Pelodiscus sinensis: one gene and its partners. The protein of the gene in region 1 purifies or fractionates together with the protein of each later gene. This does not show direct contact. Links are inferred from orthologs where the notes say so. Each region holds a gene or a part of one and is shown in the gene's direction. Other genes may lie near its edges.

Region 1 (7,760 bases):
TATGTGATGGGCGAAGATTCCTCTCCCGAGACAGTGCAGGCGTGTCAATTACTGATACTAGCCATCACGGCGACGGGAGGCCTCCCAGTCGTCAGCTAGCCCATTTACTGTCTGGTTTCTGTTTATGGTAGAGTCAGGGACAGGCACCACACCTGCGTTCCCAGGGCATCAAAGGCTGACTGCCTTTCTCTTGCTCTCTGGGGGGGAAAAACAAGATGGGGCTCGTGGAAAAACAAGATGGGGTTTTTGTGTCTGGCTACAGGGCCTCTGCTCTTTCCTTTACCTCCATTGTAACAATCAACTAGTGGAAAGAATGCAACAGCTAAGAGTGTGTATTGGGAATTTTATTATTGTTCTAGTAGGATTGAGGAGGGGGCCAGGTACCTGGGGTGTCAAGAAACGAGCAGGGGTTCCTAAACTCATCAGCAGAGTCTGGTGGTGAGTCACCAACATGGAACATACATCATTCCTGTTTTTATCTTCAGTTATTCTGAATTTTGCTTCCCCAGAGATTTACATCCAAATGAACATACCATTCCTCTGTGAGCTTCTCATCTGGGATTCCCATTTTCTCCAATAACATGCCGCACCGGTACCAAATACATTTTCCCCAATCATTTCTCATCTCAAAAAAACCCTCTCCAGTTGAGTTGATTTATTTCTTCGTTCACACTGCTATTTATTGTTTCTCCACATGTTTGCCCAGCAAATATGTAGCATGTAGGAACCCACAGACAGAAATATAATACTAAGTTGAGTTGAACCTTATGAAATATTAACAAAATGAAATGGAAGTTTAATATATTACTGGTGGCCTGCAGCAACCAGAGCTTATGTAGCACCAAATTATATGATGTGACATCATGTAATTACTAGAAGTCCTGTGGCACCTTATAGACTAACAGATTTATTGGAGCATAAGCTTTCATGGGCAAAGACCCACTTTGTCAGATGCATCTGACAAAGTGGGTTTTTGCCCACAAAAACTTATGCTCCAATAAATCTGTTAGTCTATAAGGTGCCACAGGACTTCTTGTTGTTTTTGCAGATTCAAACTAACACAGCTACCCCCGATACATGTAATTACTGTTGTTCTGGAGTTCAGTTAAACCCATGCCATTAACATGGTTTGAACAAAATTATTGTTGGTGAGTACTAAGGTGACAATCCTAATATTAGGGGCCTTGTCCATCTGGCAACTATAAACTCCTTCTCATTCCGCTCCAGGAAAAAAAAGTGTCTCGATTTTTCACACTTGCGTTAGTCATTACTGAGCTCCTCACTTTCTGTCCCCAGCCAGTCAACTGGCCACCTGGTGCTGCCGCCAATGCCAGCTGCTTCTGCCCTGCTCAGATCCAGCAGCAGGGGGAGCAGCCAGAGGACAGGCCACCATATGCCAAGATTCATGACAACCCCTAGCTGCCAGCTGAGTTTCATCCTAAAGGACCATTTTGGTCCCATCTTGTGGCCCAGAGAGATACAGGAGTGGGGGGTGGGAGCGGCACCGCAGATATACAGAGCTGCCAATAATGTGCATGACACACGAGTTACATGACATTTGGTAGCTCTGAATTCTTAGTATTTGTGGTTCCAGACAAGAGGAAACTGATTTTTTTTTTTAAACATGAGATCAGTTTTTTCCATGATGGTTTTCCACATGGAATTACTTGGATTGTTAGGATATCTCTTCAGGGTAGCTGTGTTAATCTATAAATTTAAAAACAAGTAGTCCTGTGGCACCTTAGGCTACATCTACAGAGTTATTTTGGAATAACTGATGTTATTCCAAAATAACATAGTCTACTTTTACACAACAGGCAGTTTTTTTGACATACTGTCGAAATAATGTTGAGCTGGAGGACTTCATACTCTGACTCCTGTAACCCTCAATTTACGAGAAGTAAGGGAAGTTGGGGGAAGAGTGCTCTATCTCAAAATAACTGCTGTATAGACAGTGCCAAAAGTCGAAATAAGCTATTTTGACTTAAGCTACGCAATTAGCTTAGTTCAAGTTGCGTAGCTTATTTTGAGTTCAGCCCTGCTGTGTAGATGTGCCCTTAGAGACTAACCAAAATACGCAGATTCATAAGCTTCTGTGGGCAAAACTGACTTCATCAGTTGAATTGAAGTGGATAGTAAGTTTTTAGGTTGTTTGGATACCTTGATTAACTTTGAGTTTCCTAGCTTTGCAATGCTTGTTTTTAGGATAATTTCATCATGCATGTGAAACTTTTTACTTTTAAGTTACCGCTAATGTATTCTCATCTTAACTCCAGTTTAACATCATGCTTTTTAGAGAATATTATTATGTATATCTTTTCATGGTTCTTCATTACTTCAAATAATAATTCAAAATAAATAATAACAGCAGTGACGCTTTGTACTTCTATATTACCACAGCACACAGAAGTATGGAAAATAAGGACTGCAAGAGAGTCCCTTTATATCTGTGCCCTCGTCAGCCCCAAGTAACACCCCATCCTTTATGTCCTCTCCTTGCCCAAACAGCTTTGCATCTCTTGTTGCTTTCTTCTGCTCTCCCATTCATAGCCTGCCACATAGGCTGGTGCAGCTGAGCATGGCCACAAATGCCATGTCCTTTGTAAAAGTAGCTGGGCTGGAGATGGGTTTTTTCAACACAGCAAGTGCCTTCTCTCTCTCTCTCTCTCTCTCTCTCTCACGAACAGGATTTGGGTGAAAGCTTCCCAAATCAGCCTCTTCATTAAAACAGGAGACTGTGTACCATAGCATATCAGTGGAGTGTTGTTCTCTTTCCCTTGTCTCTCTCATTTTCAGCTGTAAAACTTCTGTGGGGGGAAATAATCTTTTGTTCTACAAGGCCAACATGGAGCTCATATTTCAATGTCTCAGGGAAAGTGATAAGCTTGGAAATAACAATGGCCTATTTCATGTCTTGATGAAATAATTTCCTCTCTTGCCATTTTCTCAAAGAATAATATTTGACTAGTGCAAGGGCATAAGATAGGGTGAATGCTTTCCTTCATACCAACTGATAATGGGCCAAATTCAGCCCTGGTACAGAGTGCAACTCTACTGATTGAAGAGGATGTAAGCCTGCGCACAGCACAGACCAATATTTTTAAAGCTAGACTGTAATACTTTTGAAGTATTTGTAATTCAATTGCTGTAGCACAGAAGTTTCAGTTTCATGAATCAAACTATTTATATAGTCCTGAACAAATCCTAGACTAGACATTAATGTCCCTTTAGCCCTACTGTAACTGCTAGCACTGACAGTCTTTGATTTGCTATCAAGATGCAAATTATTTAACCAGTACTCCCCCACTGCACAACAATCAGCTTGATCATCCCTTTTAACAAAAGGCTCCACTGTATTCAACAGGGCACATCACAATATAATGCAACCATGCAGCTATGAATTTACATAGCCCCTGCTCTAAAGCACAGGAACAATACAAGCAATTATGGTTGTCTATCTGGATCCTTTAGCTCAGTAAATAGGCCATCTTTGTTTGCTGTTGGTATTTAAAAATGGAGCCATGTCATTTTTACTTGCAGTAGACAGTATTTTCTGTGATTTTACATTAATCTTTAATTATTTTCAGCGCAAGTAAAATAGCTGTTGTCATCCGTTTTCCCACTCTGGGAATATATCAGCCAGCATCTTGTTTCCCATATACAGGAGATTTTGCTTACAGTTGATATCTCATGAACTGGTATGGGACAGAACTTTGCATTTGTCATGGGAGTTAAAACAGGGTCATCTAATAAGTGTCACCCGTGCCCTCACCCAGGTCATTTCAGCACCACAGGTGTCACTTAATATACTATTGGAAGATGCTCAGATGAAATGGAGATAGGGTAGTATAAAACAGAGCACACCTCTGCTTCTGTGATCTTTTCTTCTGTTGGCCTGAAATAGTAGCCAAATGTTTGTCTATGTTCAAAAAAATGGTGCTAAAATGTGAGTTAGCTACAGTGACTTGAAACCTCACTCGGTGCCCTGCGTAGACAGGGATCAGCCCTTTAAAAATCATGTTGTAACAACAGGGGGAGCCTGTGATTTGGTGTCACTGTTTTAAAGGTGTTAAAACTCAAATGTCCCAGTTTATTTCTTTCACAGGTGGAAGCATATCAAGTAGTCATTATTCCCATGCTCTTGTATTGTAAATGCACAAAGTGCCAACACAATGAAGAGAACTTCCAGTTTAAAAAAAAACTTGCATTAACTCTGTTTTTGACATTGCCCTAAATATTACCAGAGAGGCAGAGAAGCAGGAATGGAGAAATCAAATAACATGGTTCCTTTTATGTAGCCTTTAGCTGTGCTCAGATAAATCTCTTCTCATGTGTCTCATTAATACTGATAAATTAACTCCGGAAACTTTGTTCCCCTCGGTGAGGCAGGCAGAGCTTTGACAGGATTAGACAGCTTTACAAAAATTACAGCTGAGCCGTAGGGGTGGGAAGAAGGGGACAGCGTGGAATGAGGAGAAAATATAGTCAGTGGGAGGGAAGCTGATAGAGGGAAGGGGAGACGGGGGGGGGGGGGGGAGAAGGAATAGACAGCAGAAGACAGACTGTGGAAAGAGGCCTGGACTGGCCACCCAGAGTAGAGAGATGGAAGCGGGAGGAGAGCAGAGAGCGAGGCAGGAATGGGGGAGAGGGGCAAGGCTCCGGGGAGGGAGGAGGAAGCGGATTACGGTCAAGCGGCAGGGAAGGAGCCGGGACGGACGGAACAGCCTGGGGCAGAGCAGGCGGCCAGGTGGCCGCTTCCAGCCAATGGCCGCGGCGCAGATTGTTTCAGCGTTCAAAGGGGAAGCGAAGTGGCCAATGAGAAGCGGCACAGCCGCTGTACCGGCCTCAGGTCCCCGCAGCGGCTCCTGCTGTAGTTGCCGCCTGCGGGCTCCTGCTCCAGTGGCCGGCGCGGTGGGCGGGCGGGCTCGGGGCGGCAGGGAGCGCTGTAGCGCTGCCTGTAGCGCGGCCCCCCCAGCGCCGGGCTCCTCCCCTCGCCGCCGGCTGCCTGCCTGTGCTGGGGAGGCGGAGAGCCGGGGCTGGAGGCACCTCAGTGTGCGGCGAGGCGAGTGCAGCGTGCACAGGGCTCCCGCTGCTGTCGCCGCCCGGGAAGGCCGGCCTCGCGCCCCTGCCATCCAGTCTCTGCAGCTGGCTGCTCTTGAGCCGCTTGTCCGGGCGAGCTGAGCGGCGGGTCCGGGGCACGGCGCTGGCTCGGAGTAGGGGCTGCCCCGGGCGTCCCGCACCGGCTGCTGGCGGGAGGGTGTGGAGCCGGAGGAGCTGCGCGCCGGGGGCGGTGAAGAAGCCGGGCACCCGGGTCCCTCGGCTGGGCGTGGAGCTCCTCTCGCCCTAGCCCAGTGGCGCCGATCCCGCTTCGCAGGGCTCTCCCTCGCCGGTGCCAGGCGGATGCCGCCGCAGCAGGAGGGGGAGGCGGGCTACATCAGCAAGCCGCTGGCTGGCGGCTGCGAGGTGCCCCCGGTGCCCCCGCGCAGGGTCCGCAGCAGCCGAGCGGCGGCGCTGGGAGCGGCCCTGGGCAGCCGATGCCGGGCCGGGGCGGGAGCCGAGCCGCGCCGCAGCATCAAGTGTGTCCTGGTGGGGGACGGGGCTGTGGGCAAGACCAGCCTGGTGGTGAGTTACACCACGAATGGGTACCCCACGGAGTACATCCCCACCGCCTTCGACAACTTCTCGGGTAAGGGGCTCGGGGGCCGCCGCAGGGGGAGAAGGTGGGGAGCCGAGCGTGGGGCGGGTGGAAGGGGGGCATTCCCCTGGGGATCGCTCATCCACCTCCTGGAGATGAACTGTCAGAGGGAAGGGGGCTACCCCCATACGCCCCTCTCTAGGGGGAGCTGCATGGATTTTCCTAAGGGAGGGGTGAAATGACCTGCCACCAGTGAAAAAGGGACCCCCTCCCTCCCCGGAGGCAGGAAAGGGAGCAGCCACAGTGCAGGAGAAAGGCTTCCCCACCTGGAAACATCATTACCACCCATCGCCCCTTCTTCCCAAGGATGAATGTGTGTTGACCCAATAGTATACAGCGGCTCTTGCTTTTCCTGCTCTGTGCTTGTGCACTGCCCAGATTTTACAGCTCTGTTCAGCCTGCCAGCACAGGACTTTACTTGTTTAAGGATGGTCGTTTAGGTCAGGTTGGGAATATCCGCGTGTCACAACCCTGTCTCCTTTAGTTGGGGCAGGGAGGGGGGACGGAGGAAGTAAATCCTTGATCTCCTTCCCTCTTTTTGTTCTGAATTGTGTTGGAAGGTGACTGCAGAGATCGATGGGACGGACTGTAGGGCCACAAGAGGGTGTTACATGAATGGCTCTCTAGTCTCTCTACTCTTAAAGTGTGGTGAGGTCATCTGGGCCCAAGACTTTCAGCTTCCAGACACAAATCTGGGTGTCCAGCTTCCTACTGGGTTTTTTTTTTAAGTCTTTAGCGGGCTGATCCAAATGATCCACTTCTGGGTGAATTTTATGTCTGAGGAATGGCTAATAGGCCTAGCTATAAAGGTAATGCAGTCATTCTCAATGCTGCAAAAATGGTTGGACGGCATGACTTTTCTGTATTATCGAAAATTAATGCTGTGAAGCCTAGTAACCAAAACAATAAATGAAACCTACAGGATGGTTATAAGTGTTTTATATTTAAATAGCAAGAAAGAAATAATAAGGCTGATCTCTCTTATAAAAGGTACCACCATAGCCAGTGAGCACATTGTTACATATCAAGATAACTTGTTTTTAATGATAAATTCTATAGTCAAGCTCCCAAGGGAAAACACAAATATTTGCATTGTCTTCCTAGTGATTTAAAACTGGGAAGATTTTTTTTTTTTGACTCAGAGCTTTGAAAACACAAACATGACAAGAGAACAAATCCCTCTGTCGCAGGAGAAGTAACCTAATTGTTTGGATCACTCTTTTTGTGTCATCAAAGAGCTTTAGTTCAGTGATTTGCTACTTCATCAACTGCAGTGAAATGAATTGGAAAGCCCCGAAGGGTTTGTAATGAGCCTAAATGTTAGTGACAGACTTAGTTCCAGTTCTTCGTGTTATTAAATCTAAATTAATTGAAGGAAAAACAAATGTTAAGGAAAGGCATATTTCTTTTTTTTTAATTAAAAAATGTGTAACGCCAAACTCATTCAACTTTTCTCCTTCCTTCTCTCCTTAGCTGTTGTGTCTGTTGATGGCAGACCCGTGAGACTTCAGCTCTGTGACACAGCTGGTCAGGTCAGTGAAGCTTCTTATTACATTTAAGTGACAAGGGGGGAAGGGCAAAGTGTCATGCAAAACAGTCCCACTAAAGACTTTATGGATTTTAAAGCATACCCATTGTTTGATCATCTTATTAAATTGCCATCAGAGTAAGTAATTCTTAGCTCCACTGTATAAGGTTAGCTGTGGGTTCAGACTGCTTCCCTGTTAATTTCCCTGTATGATTGAACTCCCAGACACTGTATGTTCTCTCTCAGACCTGTTGCTGCTGACAATTTTATTTTTTAAAATTATCTCTAGGTTTAAAAGTGCTGCTGCTAGGAGAGTGGAGGGAAGATTATGTGTGTATTGAGCACAGATACAAAGGCATGCACAGGGTTGTGGGTAACTATTGAGAGGGCTGGAAATTAAAAAAAAAAAAAACCAACCCTGTTGAATATCCATTTCACCAGTAGTTTTGTACCACATTTACATTTCTTTACTTGTTACTAAGATGAGCTAAATGAGCTCTGGTTGTAAACAGTTCAGTGCTTCCATTATTAAGATGC
Region 2 (7,366 bases), on another chromosome or scaffold:
CCATGACTTACAAAACAAGAAGGTCTGCCCCCCTACAGAAACATTTCCAAGATCAGATCCCAAATCATAACTTTGTGAAACAAATCTTGTAGGCTGAAATTTTCCATGGTTTTTCTTTTGTCCAAAGATGAGTATCAGAGGGGTAGCCTGAATCTGCATAAACAATGAGGAGTTTGGCACCTTATAGACTAACAGATTTATTGGAGCATAATCTTTGTGAGCAAAGACCCACTTTGTCAGATGCATGTAGTGGAAATTCCAGAGACAGGTATAAATATACAGGCACATGAAAAGAAGGGAGAACCAATCAAGAGGAAGGCCAGAGATAACGAGGTTAATTCAGTCATGGAGGATGTGGCCCACTTCTAGCAGATGATGTGGAGGTGTGAAAATCAAGAGAGGAGAAACTGCCTTTGCAGTTGGCTAGTGGCCATTCACAGTCATTGTTTAATGCTAAATTGATAGTGTCAAATTTGCAAATGAATTGAAGCTCTGCAGTTTCTCTTTGAAGTCTGTTTTTGAAAGTTGTTCTTGTTGCTGCAGGATGGCTACTTTTAAATCTGCTACTGTGTGTCCAGGGAGACTGAAGTGTTCTCCTACAGGTTTTTGTAGGTTACCATTCCTGACATCTGGTTGGTGTCCATTTATTCTTTACATATGGCAGAGGGGCATTGCTGGCACATAATAGCATATATTACATTGGTAGATATGCAGGTGAATGAGCCCGTGATGGTGTGGCTGATGTGGTTAGGTCCTGTGATGGTGTAGATATGTGGGCAGAGTTGATACCGAGATTTGTTGCAGGCGAAACAAAGATGGTGATTTTTAAAATTTTATTTTTAGTTCGTTGAAAATTCCTTTTATGGGGTGCGATGCATTTTTCATGGCTCTGAATTTGGTTGGGTCCCACCCATAATTCAGACATGTTTATTTCATAAGATTAGAACTCTGGGATCTCAGCTTCCAATCATAGTGTGACCATTATTGATGAATGTTACCAACTTTCATGATTTTGCCATGAGTTTCATAATTATTTTTCTTAAAGCCCCAGCTCCTACAGTCAAGTGGATAAGTGATGATTTTAGCCTTCATTCTTAAAGAAAAAGTAGGTTTCTAGCCTTTGTGGCTGTGGAGAAAGCTTCAAAACATGAGAGTCTCAAAAGCAGAAGGTAAATAAAAACACCAAATCTGTGTTTTTACTTTATCTCATTATTTCAGAACATTTGAGATTGGCAATACTATGAGCGCTGCCACGCCCTTATGTACTTATGGTGCACACGTTGCCAGATAAGGCCAAAAAAATCTTGCGTACTAGGAGCTAGGTATAATTTGAAAAGGTAAAAGAAAGATGCAGTTCCTTAACTTCCCTTCCGTCTCTTGCTGGCCCACCTCTAACACTGGAATTTGTCCATCTCCCTTCTATCCCTCAATGCTGAGCTGTACAAGAGAAAAAAGGAGCTGAATTAACTGTGTATGTGCAACCAGAGCAATGATACCCTGGAATCTGAGTGCTATTTAATGGGGAGAAGGCACATACATTTCAACATCCCAAGCTCCAAATATTGTGGGATTCCTGGAATCACTTCAGTTTCAGAATTCTTTAATTCTGATTCAAATAATTTTCAGTAGTGAAAGTGAGGAAAGACCAAATCTGTGTACAACATACATAACTTTAGGACAAAAACGAGTGAGGATCATTCAAAATGAGGGGATGAGGCAGGGGAGAGAGGGGGGAAGAACACAACAGTATCAGTCCCTCTTACCTAGCCCAGAAACCCCCACCTAGCAACATCAGTGGCCTAACTCACAGCACCCAGAATTATCAGCCCCCATCCACCTGCCTACCTGCCCTACAAGATTCCACCAGCAGCTCCAACGTCCTACCCGGTTAGCACTTATCCCCACAAAATAGCTCCCTGTTATTCCTGCGTAATGATTTCCTAGTATTTTGAAAATTGGGACCCCAAAAGGTTGAAAACCACTGTTTCAGGCCATGCTGCCTCTTATATAACAAGGAGTTCAGTTCTGCCCCCTTTGATATCAGTAAGGAAACACCCAGGCTGTGTCTACACTGGCATGATTTTGTGCAAATACTTTTAACGGAAAAGTTTTTCCGTTAAAAGTATTTGCGGAAGAGAGCATCTATACTGGCATGTGCCTTTGCGCAAAAGAATCCGTGCCAGTGTAGATGCTCTCTTGCGTAAGAAAGCTCCGATGGCCATTTTAGCCATCGGGCTTTCTTGTGCAAGAAATTGATGTTACCTGTCTACACTGGCCTCTTGTGCAAGAGGACTTATTCCTGAGCTGGAGCGTCAAGAGTATTTGAGCAAGAAGCACTGATTTCATACAGTAGAACATCAGTGTTCTTGAGCAAATACTCACGGCCAGTGTAGACAGGCGGCAAGAATTTGCACAAAAGTCAAAATCTTGCCAATGTAGACACAGCCCCATTGACTTCTTTTAATGGAGAACTTGCTGATAGTAATTAACTTTTAAAAATGATGATTTGAGCATAGGCAGTAGAAATGTTCATGATATACACACATTTAAGATTTGACCTAAATTTTAAATTATCTTAAGTATTTATAAAACATAGACCAACAACAGTTAGTTTTTCCACATTTAAAAGTTTATAATATTGTTTAAAAACATTGTCCAAATATATCTGAAACCCTAACACTGCTTTGCTAAGAACATTAAAGTGAAAATTACTCTAAAGCAGAAAGAAACTAATAGTGCTAGTGATGTGTGCAAAGGCATTTATTTCATTACAAGATGTATAATTAAGCATCAAACAATTAAGAACTAAATCCTGGCAATGCCTTTACCTAAGTTGAATGTCACTGACTTCAATGGGGCTGAGCAAGAGCCTGTCACTGAACCTACAATCAGCACATGCATTGACAAAGTGGTTACTTGACTAATTTAAGATGTATCTGGCATGAGGATTTCTACTTGGCACACTTTACTGAGGTAGAGATGCAATCATAACAGGACAGATGTGTGTCAATTACACTGGTATGTCTTTTGTGGAGATATCCGTGATTTCAGAAGTATTTGGGTTTTGCACGTTTTGTTTTTGGAAGGGAGAAGAGGAGAACCTAGGAAAAGTAAACTGAAAAATCTGTTAACAAAATATAAAAGTTAAATGTTTACAATAGCAAAAACAGCCAGGGAATGCAAAATGTATGGTTCTCATGGGAAGTGGCAATGCTGATTTTCTCATACTACATATGAAAAGTATTACTTTACTGTAGCATCCCAACATAATCCAAAATAATAGATATGTATTAGGGACATAAAGATTATGATGACTAAACTTAAGCATTTCCTACTGTTGTGCTCTTAAAGTCACAACTGTGTTATGGCAGTAACGATGGCGTTTTGCCTTTAACTTCTTGCACAGAGGCACGGCTCCCCTTACCTTTCTACGAGGAAGCTCTCTGAGCTGGTATATTCCCTCCACTCCAGCTTTCAGGAGGCAGAGCTTCTGCAAGTGACCTCACCGCACTGACCAATCCGCTCGATTAGACGCTTGTGATGCTATTCCTGAAAGTTCCCTTCCCTAGGGTGGCACTTCGGGGAATAACATTGAATGCTTTCTATTTTTAGAGGGCAGGCGAAGCGCTTTGTCCCCGGCCCCGCCAGCTAACCCCAAGTCAGCGGGCCGAGAATGAGGGGGAAACATTTGCAGTTCAGCGGGAGAAATGGCTGAGCCCCTTCCGAGCGTCTCCCTGACAAAGAGGATGCGTTAGGCAGAGTCCCTTGCCAAGGACGCCTTAGGCACACATCACGCTGCAAACTCTGTAGCGCAGCTCGACTCAAAAGGAGAGCGCGGGTGGGTGGAGGGGCGGCTTTGTGCGGCTCCATCTTTTCTCTCGTGCACACCGGCTCTCCCACTTGCTCCAGGTCCGTGGCACTCAGTTTACAGACTAGAGCGAGCTGCGGGGGGCTCCCCTCAAGCCGGCACACGCAGCGCGGGCTCGGCGAGCTTGCCCCCCCCCACCCCCACGCCTGGGGCAGCGCTCGCCCGGCGCTCAGGTGTGCGGGGCCCGATCCTGGCCGTCCTGCCGCTGGAGCGGCTTCGCTTTTAGGCGCGGGCCCGGACCCACTTCCCCCTCCCCGAACTTTGCGGGCCGGGGAGGGAGCCGCCCCTCTGCGGAGCGAGCCCGGCTCCCGGCCGGAGCAAAGGGGGGGGGGAGTCCGGGGGCCCGCCCCTCCGGGCCGAGGCAGGAAGGGAAGGGAAGGGGAGGGGTGTGTGTGGCGGGGGGAGGGGCCGTCGCTGCCGCCGCCGCCGCCGGGCTGAGCAGAGGCAGGAGCGCCGGGGCCTTGGGCACGTCCGGCCGGCCCGCGGGAGGAGGGAGGAAGAGGAAGGGGGGGGGGGGACGCGGCCCCTCACGAGGACGCAGCAGCCAGAATCCGCCGGGGAGGGGGCAGCGCGCGCGCCAACCGCCGCCGAGACAAAGAGCGGAGCCCGCCTGGGAGCCCCCCCCTCAGCCGCCGCCGCTGCCATTGCTGCTCCGCTCCCGCCCCTCGGCCGGAGCGCGCCGGGCCCCCGCCCCGCCACGAGCCAGCGCCGCCCGGCCCGAGGTGAGAGCGGGGCCGGGATCCGCCGCAAACTTGTGGCGGCCGCTGCCGGGGAGTTGGGCGGCCCCGGGGGGCGCTGCCGGGCCTAGCGCCTCCCCCCCCCCCGCCGCGTACCGGGCCTGCAGCCCCGGGGTGAGTAGGGCGGGGCCGAGCGCGGGGCCCGCAGGAGGCGGCGGGGCGGGGGCTTGGCTGCCACGTTCGGGCGCCGGGGCCGCGGGGAGGCCGGGGCTGCGAAGGAGCCGCACGAGCTTCCTTGTCCTGGCCCGAGTGTTGCTGACAGCGGGCGCTGCTGGGTAGCACGGTCCGTGCGGGGCAGAGCCGGGCGGCGGCGTCTCTAGCCCGGCTCTGGGATTCCGCCGGGCTGACGCCGGAGGCGAGCTGCTTCTAACGTGGCTTAAATTAAGTGCCGCTCAGGTTTCCCTGTGTAGCGCGGAGCCCGACTGCCAAAAGGGCAGAAAGCAGTGCTCAGCTAGGACGTACATGATAATCCTGTCAATAAAGTAACCCAGGAGATATTTTGTATGAGTGTAATAGTCAGTTTGCTCAGCCAAAACTGATTATTTGCATTTATATTTTTAATGACTTAATCATCGTCAAATTACTAGGAATGTGGGCTAGCCTAGGTCAAGTAGCACCAAGTCCTTAATTCATCTTAAATATTAAAGTTTATATTTTAATGGAAAGTTGATATTCTGTAAAGTTTTCAGAAGAGTTTAATATGGCTTTTGAAATGTGACGGGTATTAATATACAAAAAAATGGCATCTTTAATGTGTTTACTAGGTATGGAACTTAGGTTTTGTACATAGTTTTTATACATGTTTACAACATGTTCAGAGAATATTAGACCCTTTGCAACTGCTTAATAAGTCAAACCCAGCACCTGACACAGTTAAAACAAAAAAGCCAACACAGGCTTCAAATGCTAAAACATAGGAATATTCTGATGTTTGCATTTGCATATAGAACTAAAACGGTGTTTTGTAGTAACTGTGTTACCTGTAATGCTATTAAAATCAGTATGTTGTAGTAGGCTGATACTTCACATTGATGATGGTAGCCCCACTAATCCTCAGTAATATTAACTAAAATAACACAGTACTTAAGGCTGTACCATATATATAGTTTTGTTCTTTGAGTAGTTGACAGGCACTGGAGGAATGACAAATAGTACATAATTTAAATATTTGACTCTAGATTAATAAAATACAAACCTACAGATAGACTTCTGTGAGACTTTGGCACTGTGGTTCATTGACATAGATCCTGTTGCAGGGTTATGGAATAGGTTAAAATTGCAACTTCGATTAATTTTCTGAGCCCATGTAATGTAATTTGTATGTATTGCACTGTAAAAAGCTGTATATATTGAGATTAAGTTGTGAACTAAATACTGAATTTCACTTAAAATTGTTCTGTGGTGGTATAAAATTTGAGCCCCCTCTGCATTTTTTGTTTAATTTTGCTCTTTGTGTATCTGGATTCCATTTCTGTTCCCGCCTTCTTATTTGGGCTGGAGTGGTGTCTCTGAAGGACATACTATTGCTGTAGCAGCTTTACGTACATTAGAAAATCAGGCCTTTACAGAACCGGGGTGTTGTAACACCATATGGGCAGGTCAGCTCTGCCACAGTTGGCTTTTGTTCTCCAGAATTTTGTCCAGTATCTTAAAATGGAGGAAAAATCTAAGTTTTTAAGTGCGTACCAGATGGGAGATTCTTAAAAAGGATCCCTTTTAAGGATCTCTTTCCCCAGCCATAGAGCTTTTCAGCGCCTGGTATGACAAAGCACTGACTCAGATGATTTAACTAGGGTCAGTTCTGCTTTGAGCAGGGGATTGGGCTAGATGACCTCCTGAGGTCTCTTCCCAGAGGAAATCAGAATCATAGATTAGGGTTGGAAGTGTCATTACCCTAGTGTCATTACCCTGCTGTCTGCTGCAACTGATCTTAAGCAACCTTAGGCTGTCATCACTGTTTAGGCAGTACGATGCCAATACTCTTATATTTCGATTATAGACATAACTAACTACAAAATAAGATTTATGTAACTTAGTGAATTTAGTGCTTCTGAAAGATCTTTTTAGAATTCTGAAAACTGAAATCTGTCTGACCTAAGCAGTTGTATTTCGTTTTGTTATCCCATCAGTATGTCTGAACGATAGGGTATTTCAGTCTTCATAACCATTCCTTGTTTATTTTGCTGAGACTTTTAACAAGGAGGTCAGTTGTGCCGAACATGTTTGTGAGTAGGAGTTGAGATTGGAGACACTCTTGCCTACCAACATCAATACTAAAATTTGCAAATAATTCTGTCCATGACAGTGAACAGTCTTCAGATGGTAAACATTTGGACACTGCATCTTTCTGCTGTATTTGGATCATTTACCTAGGGGTGAAAAGCATATTCCAGTTTCTTGAGCTATGTAATGAGCTTCCAAATCTTCTTCCCCTTGCTGTCCTGCAAAAGAAACACAACAATTATAATTAGTCATCTACCTTCAGCATGGTTCCTTATATTGACCTCTGAGTAGTAGGTGTCTGATAAATTAGAAACTCTAGCATCTCGCAGGCTGTTGTAACATAGGGAACTTACTATCTATTTCTATTTTTTCCCCCTTGAAAGTCTCCTGGTAGCTATGTGTAATTGAGTGAGGAAAGGTCCACATCACTTTACACTTTTGCCAGCACCTCCTGGCTGCTGCAAGGGGAGAGATTAGGACAAAGAGGTCTGCCATTCTCTACTTTGCTATAATTTTGTCTTACTGCAGTCTCTTTCTC
Region 3 (8,073 bases), on another chromosome or scaffold:
GCGGAGGAGCGGCCCCCGACCCAGGACGGACCTCGAGCGTCACCGAGGCCGGCAGTCAGCCCGTTCTCGGCCCCCAGGGCCCCCGGGACAGTCACCACAGCTGGCAGTCGGTCAGCCCCTTCTCCGACGACAACCGAACCCCGCCGCGCCGGTCCCGGAGGGAGCGGACCCAGCCAAGAGAGCTTTCCCTGGAGACTTCGCCCAGATGACCCAGGACCCGAGCCGCCTAACCAGGGTAGGCCCTGGGGGTTGGGGCTGTGACCCCAGGGGAGGAAGGAGCCCGGGGTGGGGCGCTTTTGGTGACCGTGGGTGGACGGGTTATGGAGGGAGTGACCCCCTGTCCACCGCGCCGGGGTGCAAACAAGCCCCGACGCCTAGGGCTGGGACCCAGAGAGAGGGTGGGACCGGTCCCCCTCCCTCTCCTGAAGGAGCGTCCTGCTCCTAGAAACTTTACTGAATGCAAGACTGCGAATTGGGACCCCGTGCCGGGGAGAACTTAGACTGTGGGCTCAAGCCCCATCCCGCAGGGACGAGTGACAATTTCCGGGTTCGCTGACCCCCCCCCTCCATCCGGGAGGGGGTGATCACACCCAAGGGCCCGGGCCCATAGCGGGGACCCGGGGTACGACAAAGGACGAGAAGAGGACGAAGGGGTCCGCAGAACCCCCCTCTTGTACTGGGAGGGGGTGATCGCACCCCTCACCCCTCACCCGTGGTGGAGAATGTGGGTATCGACCCCCTGAGTTGGCACTCGAGTTAAGGGGTGTTTTTTGCCTAGGGAAAGGAAAACGAGCACCAGAACAATGGATCCACAACAGCTGTTGGACTGGGTGGGGGAAACCCAGCACCAGCAGCAGCAGCAGCGGGCCCAGATGCTCCAGCAACTGGCAACCCAATTTCAGGACCAGCAGCAGCTGCTGGTCCAAGAGTTGGCCACTCAACATGAGAAATGGATATGGATACAGGGGGCCCACCCGCCCGGAGTGGCAGGGGGGCCCGTGTGGCAGGGCGAGGAGGGCGAACGCAACCTGGGCTCTCTCCCCCTGCGCTTGACCAAGACGGGGCCGGGGGATGACCCCGAAGCCTATCTGACGACTTTTGAACGGGTGGCCACTGCCGCGAGATGGCCAGAGGACCACTGGGCCACTTTGTTGGCTCCTTAGTGACCCAGGATGTGCTGCAGTATGTGAAAGTAAAAGAAGCCATTCTGGATCAGCTAGGGATCACCAGTGACACGTATCGCCAGTGTTTTCAGTGCGAACGATTCAAACTCGGGGAGCGGCCTCGGGCCTTTGCACAGTGGCTGCGCGAATGGGCTTGGCGCTGGCTAGAGCCTGAGCAGCGCTCCAGCACGGAAACGGTGATTCTGGAGCAGTACGTGCACCTTCTCCCCCAGGAAGCCCAGAAGTGGGTCCGGAGGCACCAGCCAGGTTGAGGGAGGCACCAGCCAGGCCCTCACCGAAGCCCATATGAACGCAGAGGGAGGTGAGATAGGGGAGCGGCGGGAGTCAATACCCGGCCCCTCCCCGCGGGAGGCACCGCAGGCACGAGGTGGCGGACCAAGCCCGCCCAAAGACCCCCCCCAGGCCGGCCTTTCGGGGGGGGGCGACGGTTGGCCCCAATATGGCCAGGCAAGCCGGGAGACACCCAGGAGAGAGCAAGGAAGGGGACGGAAGAGAAGTCGGGCGAAAGCCATAGGATGGGGAGTTGGAATGCCTGCTATCAATGCAGGCAGGATGGGCATTTCAAACGTGACTGTCCTCTAATGGATTGCACCTTAAGCCTAATGACCCCGGGGGGAACCCCGCCGGAACAATCGCGGCCGACAGTAACCATCTGGCTCGGCCTGAAGCCCCTGAAAGCCCTCGTGGACTCTGGCTCTGCTCTTACTTTAGTACGCGAGGACCTGGTTCGAGATGCCCCGGCGACCGGAGAGACTGCTTGGATGAAATGCGTGCATGGGGATGGGAGAGCCTACCCCATGGTGTGGGTCCACCTCGCCGACGGCCAGATGGCAAAGGTCTGGCAGGTGGGGAAAGCGCCCGCGTTACCATGCCCGATAGTGATGGGGAGAGATTGGCCCGGGTTTGCAAGACTGCTACGTAGAGGTGCGGACCCGCCGCGGGAGCAGATGCGCGTGACGGAGGGCTACATCCATCCCCGGACCCTCGGAGAGCCGGACGTGGGCAGGGGGACGCCGGTGGCGGGCCTCCCGGAGGACAGGCTGGCCGATGCTCCGGACTTCCTGGAAGAACAATGGGGAGATGAAACCTTGCAGTACGCTTGGGAGCAAGCAGAGGGCCCCGCAGAGACCGACGGGAACCGTCAGGGACCCCTCTTCCAGGTAATAGGGGATCGGCTGTACCGTCTGGTAGGGGCTGGGGAAGGGGAAGAAAAGCAGAGACAGTTAGTGGTGCTGCAGGGCCGGCGGAGGGAGGTCCTGGACCTGGCACACACGAACCCCTGGTCCGGGCATCTGGGAAGGGAAAAGACATTGGCCCGTGTCCTGCAGCGATTTTATTGGCCGGGGGTCTACAGGGTGGTGCGGGACTTTTGTGCCTCTTGCCCCAACTGCCAGAAGGTCTCCTCGGGCAGGGTACCGGTGGCCCCCTTGGTACTCCTCCCGGTTGTGGGCATCCCCTTTGAGAGGATAGCCTTAGCTTTGGTAGGGCCCCTGGAACCGTCTCGGATGGGGTACTGGTTCATCCTAGTTGTCATTGACTATGCCACTAGGTACCCTGAGGCAGTACCGCTTCACAATACCAAGGCACCGACCCTAGCTTCCGAGCTGCTCAAAATCTTTGCGAGGGTGGGATTCCCCCAGGCCATTTTAACGGACCAGGGGACAAACGTGACCTCACGACTGATGAAAGAACTGTGCGCACTGCTACGGATAAAGACCTTGCGAACGTCCGTGTACCACCACCAGTCGGACGGGTTAGTGGAGCGCTTCAACCGCACTTTAAAGGAAATGCTCAGGTGGGTGGTGCAAGAAGGACCACGGGACTGGGATCAGATGCTACCAGCCCTCTTGTTTGCTATCCGGGAAGTGCCCCAAGCCTCCACGGAGTTCTCCCCGTTTGAACTATTGTACGGGTGCTAGCCTAGGGGGATTTTAGACATTCTAAGGGAGGAGTGGGAGGCGCAGACCACCCGGTGTCAAGGCACGGTGCAGTACATCCTGCAACTCCGAGAGAGGTTGCGGCGGGTGGGGGCCTATGCCAAATTAAACCTTTTGAGGGCCCAGATGAGACAGGCTCATTATTACAACCGAACGGCCGTGACTCGCCCGTTCAGGCCAGGGGACCGAGTGTTGTTGCTCTTACCCACCCAGGAGTCTAAGCTCCTCGCGGAATGGCAGGGCCCCTACGAGGTGATCCGCAAGGTCGGAGATGTAGATTATAAGATACGGCTCTCGCGGAAGCGTAGGGATACACAGGTTTTCCATGTTAACCTCTTTAAGAAGTGGGTGGCTAGGGAAGGACTCCTGGCAGCACCCGTGGACCGGGAGGAGGATCTTGGCCCATCCCGGGAAGAGTGTACAGAGGAAGACTCACTGTCCATAGGACCCGAACTTACCGAAGAACAGCGACAACAAATGGAACATCTCCTACACCGGTTCCGTCATGTCCTTACCGCAACCCCGGGAACGGCGAAGGTAGGAGTACATTGTATACGTACTGAGCCAGAGCGGGTAGTGTGGGAAGCCCATAGACCCCTCCCCAGGAAGGTATGGGAAACCGTCCGGCAAGAAGTACAAGCAATGAAGCAGTGGGGAATGATCGAGGAATCACAAAGCGAGTGGAGGAGCCCAATAGTGCTGGTCCCCAAAAGTGACGGGAGCGTGCGGTTCTGCATTGACTTCTGGAGGGTCAACAGCATCTCGCAGTTTGACGCATACCTCATGCCAAGGGTGGAGGAATTATTAGAATGTCTGGGGCGGGCTAAATACATATCCACCCTGGACCTGTCGAAAGGATATTGGCAGATCTCGTTGGACCCGCAAGATAGGAAGAAAACCGCGTTTGCGACCCCGTTCGGCCTCTTCCAGTTTCGGCGAATGCCTTTCGGCTTACATGGAGCAGCGGCGACCTTCCAGCGGGTTAATCTAGGCTCCAATTTTAAGACAGCCTGACTTTGAGAGACCATTTCTTTTATGCACAGACGCATCCGAATGCGGACTAGGGGCGGTGCTGGCTCAGGAGTATGACGGGGAAGAACATCCAGTCCTTTACCTGAGCCGGAAACTCCTACCCCGAGAAACGAACTACGTGATGGTCAAGAAAGAGGCGTTGGCCGTGAAATGGGCCATAGAAACCCTAAGGTACTATTTGTGGGGAAATAAATTCAAACTGGTTACGGACCATGCTCCTTTAGTTTGGTTAAACTCCATGAAAAATTCTAATCCCCGCCTTACGCGGTGGTATATGTCGCTGCAACCCTACCAGTTCAAGGTAGAATACCGGGCACGGGCAAAACACCAGAACGCGGACTTTTTCTCGCGGGTGTTTGACCCAGGCGGGGAAGGGGGAAACCCCACTGTAAGGGGGGGAGGGTGTGTGACGGGCTGTCACTGGCCTGGGGGGAGGATGGCCAGAGCCGCCGCCTGCAGGGAGACGGGGGCCAGCCCCAAACTCTCTGGTGCGGTCCCGGCGCAAGCCGGGGGAGCCGGCGGGTCCGCGCACTGCCACCGCGCCTGCACCAGCAGGGGAGCATTGGCCCCTCCCTGGGGGTATGTCTACACTACAGCACTAATTCAAACTAACTTAATTCGAATTAGTTAATTTGAACTAAGCTAATTCAAACTAGTGCATCTAGAACTAAAAACTAGTTCGAATTAGCGTTGGCCAGGGAATGCCTCGCTCCTGATGCCATTTAGCAGTTCCCTAATCCCAGCCGCCTCTACCTCTTTCCCAAATGACATCACCCTGTTTGCTTCACACTCACATCTTCCTGTCTCCCTCCCTCCCTCCCAATCCCCATCAACCCAGCTCGCACGGGGGAGTGGAGAGGTTTGCCGGACACTCCCAGCCGCCAATGGGAGAGGAGCCCCGCGGAGGGCGGGGAAAAGCCAATGGGAGATGGGAGAGAGGCCGGGAGCTGCTGCCGGCGCTGAGCTAGGTGCTGCCGCTGACAATAGGGGAGGCGGTGGCGTGCTCGAGGAGGAGCAGTGGGCGTGCGTGGGGCAAGCCTGCTGGGCTGGCTGCGGAGAGAGTCTCGCCGCGAGGAGGACCGAGGAAGGGAGCCAGGGGGGGAGTGGGCAGGGGAGAAAGAGGAAGCGAAAGCAGCTGCAGCCGCAGGGCGAGAGAAGGGAATCCCTGTGCTGCCAGGAGGTGAGTGCTGGGCGCATGTGAGCGGGGGCAGCTCTCGCCTCCTGCCTTGCCGGGCACTTTGTATCTTGGCTTCCCCCGCGGCTGTCCGGGCAGGGGGAGCTCTGAGAGCGACCCTCGTTCATTGCCACGCTGCGCCGGTAGCTCTGCGCGGGCAAGTTTTTAACCAGGGCGCAGCGCAAGCGGAGTCCCTTGAAGTTTCCCTGGGAGGCAGGGTTGGCGACAGCAGGGCTCCGAGCTAAGCCGCGTGGCTGGAGTTTGGGAGACCCAGCTAGCCAAGGGAGCGGGGGTGGGCGACTCCTTCTGCCCTGCCCTCTCTTGCACAGGACGCTCATTCATTTAACAAAGGCGGCTGCCGTCTGCCCCAGACCCCCTTAGCTTGAGCCAGTGTGAACCGAAGGATTGTGTCTGGGGGGGTGGTGGTGGGTGTGACCCAAACTGGCCCCTCAGCCTTTCCTGGCTCTGTTGGGATCCATTGACTAGCAAGAACTGGGGTTCACCTCTTGTTTTCTCAGCGCTGCTAGTAGAGAGACCTGGGCAGCGGCGCCCGGATTTGTATATTAACGAGGGGACCCGAAGAGGCAGTTGTGGGGTTCGGCGTTGGGCTTTTTTTTGGTCTAATGAACTGAAACAGTGGGGGTGTCTGGGGCTGGCAGAAGCTTCAGCGCTGAATTGATCGTGTACTCAGTGAGCAGAGACCCCACAGAGCACGTCCCGATTCGGAGCGCACGTCTGGCTTTTGATGGGGTTAGTGAGCAGCGTGGGGAGGAGGGAGTATGGCTTTTTGGTGAGGATCAGAGATCCTTAGGCTGGCGTAGCACGTCTAGCGAGCGAGTTGTCTGTCTAGGGACACCAGTGGGGTGGCTGGGGAATGGAGATGGATTCTCCCCTCCCGGCTTCGTATGTCTAGGCGGCGGCAGGAGCGGAGTGTGCGTGTGCTGGGAAAATGCAGAGTGCAGCTCCTCTGTGTCTTTTTTTCTTCTTCTTCGTGGTGATCGGCGAGAACGCGGGCAGGAGAACTGAACTTTTTGAATCCGATGAAGTGAAAATTCAGGGCGCGTGGGCGTGCCTCAGTGGGTGGCTTTCTTGGAGGCTGCTCTGGGGAGCCAGCCGCAGAGGGTTCTTCTGGAGGAATTGCTTTTAGCTCATTCTGTAACTCTATAAAGGCTGCAATGTGGAATTGCTTAGATTCAGAAAGCTTCATAGACCTACCCGATGTCCCCTAGTTTTCAGAGAGGTCAGTTTCAGCAAAAACCAGTCCTGTGGCACTTTAAAAACTAATACATTATGCCCTAATAAATTTGTTAGTCTTTAAGGTGCCACAGGACTTCATGATGTTTGCTGTGATTCTGGCTACTTTCCTCTTTGCAGAGGCTTGAAAAATCACAGTGCTGTGTGAGGTATCTGGATGCCACAGAACATTTGCTCCCACAGGCAATTACTCAGTCTTTATTCATCCCCAGTCTTGCTCCAGAAAGAGTTTCTCCTGAGGAGAAAGACAGAAGAAAGCCAGTTAAAAAGCCTCTGAATTTGACTTGATATTTGGGAAACATCATCTACTCTAAGCCATGAAAATGACGTTTAAATGTTCTTGTTAGCAATATGTACATTAGTAATATGTGGTAATAATTGTGAGGACTGCATTGGTAAACTGCTTAAGCCTTACCCAAACAAAAGCAGTGCCGGTTCTGTGACTAGGCAGGATCTCCTAGAGTGGGGTATGTTTCTAAAAGACTTTCAGCAAATCAGGGAACAGAAGGAAGAAGGTCTGTCCTTTCCATTGGGAAGTAGAGAGTAATCCCAGTATTTAACTGCTGTGTCTAGTGATTGCATTTTTTTTCATATCTTGCCAGCTTCCTGATGAGTTAGGCTTTCTCTTACAAGGTCTCCAGTGCCCTCAATCCTTCAGGAACCTCAGCAGCAGTTGCGGGTACTTGTCACTTTTCAGGCTCAAGGAAGGTCTAAAATTGCTAAATTGGTACAACTGCACCACTGTAGAGTATCTGGTGAAGAGGCTCTGAGGATGGGAGAATAGTGATAGAAATGTAGCCATGTTAGTCTGGGGTAGCTGAAGCAAAATGCAGGACAATGTAGCACTTTAAAGACTAACAAGATGGTTTATTAGATGATGAGCTTTCGTGGGCCAGACCCACTTCCTCAGATCAAATAGTGGAAGAGGATGGGAGAGTGTCTTCTGCTGACATAGTGTTGTAACCCACATATCTTCTGGGTGTGGTTCGCTGTCCCATGTAGTGGCATTAAGACCACTTACAGAGAGAGAATAAGTTTCCTTATTGGCTTTTAGCTCAAGCTGTAGAGGCTCATGCAGTAAGCTCCAGAGGTTCCAGGTTTGGTTCTGCCTGTCACCCTTGTAATAGCACTTGTGTAGACAGTGCTTAGGTCACTATACTTGCATCATTCAGGGGAGTGTGTGTGTGTGTGTTTTCACAATTCTGAGTAAAATAGGTTAGACAGACTTGCCTAGCAATGTAGATCTGCCATCAGAAAGGCTTTGGTGCAGTCCTTCTTGTGTCCAGTCCACTGAACAGTTGAGTTGACTCCTGTAGGAGTTATTTATATAGAGGGGACAGCCAGAATACAGGAAGATGCTAATGCTGCTATTCCATTATTTCTTGAGTTTCTTTAAAGATTAGTTACTTTTCTTTCATACTTTGATCCAGACTTTGGCGTGTTGTGTGCGCGCGTGCGTGTGTGCAACGTAACAGAAATGTATCAATTAAGG

The links.
Region 2: the proteins of RHOU (region 1) and NCK2 purify together in Homo sapiens (co-immunoprecipitation; 3 studies listed by BioGRID and IntAct, with this or other methods). This does not show direct contact. The link is inferred for Pelodiscus sinensis from reciprocal best matches to the Homo sapiens genes RHOU and NCK2.
Region 3: the proteins of RHOU (region 1) and PAK1 purify together in Homo sapiens (co-immunoprecipitation; 5 studies listed by BioGRID and IntAct, with this or other methods). This does not show direct contact. The link is inferred for Pelodiscus sinensis from reciprocal best matches to the Homo sapiens genes RHOU and PAK1.

Annotation. Positions count from the first base shown.
Region 1 is NC_134713.1:123,851,270-123,859,029, reverse strand, and holds the start of RHOU (rho-related GTP-binding protein RhoU), read left to right. Parts: upstream 1-4,756; 5' UTR 4,757-5,400; coding exon 5,401-5,686; intron 5,687-7,168; coding exon 7,169-7,227; intron 7,228-7,760. UniProt on the Homo sapiens protein: Binds to and activates protein kinase PAK1. Plays a role in the regulation of cell morphology, cytoskeletal organization and focal adhesion assembly during cell migration. Also stimulates quiescent cells to reenter the cell cycle.
Region 2 is NC_134711.1:233,632,459-233,639,824, forward strand, and holds the start of NCK2 (cytoplasmic protein NCK2), read left to right. Parts: upstream 1-4,365; 5' UTR 4,366-4,590; intron 4,591-4,639; exon of another isoform or gene 4,640-4,719; intron 4,720-7,366. UniProt on the Homo sapiens protein: Adapter protein which associates with tyrosine-phosphorylated growth factor receptors or their cellular substrates. Maintains low levels of EIF2S1 phosphorylation by promoting its dephosphorylation by PP1.
Region 3 is NC_134711.1:317,034,554-317,042,626, forward strand, and holds the start of PAK1 (serine/threonine-protein kinase PAK 1), read left to right. Parts: upstream 1-5,061; 5' UTR 5,062-5,333; intron 5,334-8,073. UniProt on the Homo sapiens protein: Protein kinase involved in intracellular signaling pathways downstream of integrins and receptor-type kinases that plays an important role in cytoskeleton dynamics, in cell adhesion, migration, proliferation, apoptosis, mitosis, and in vesicle-mediated transport processes.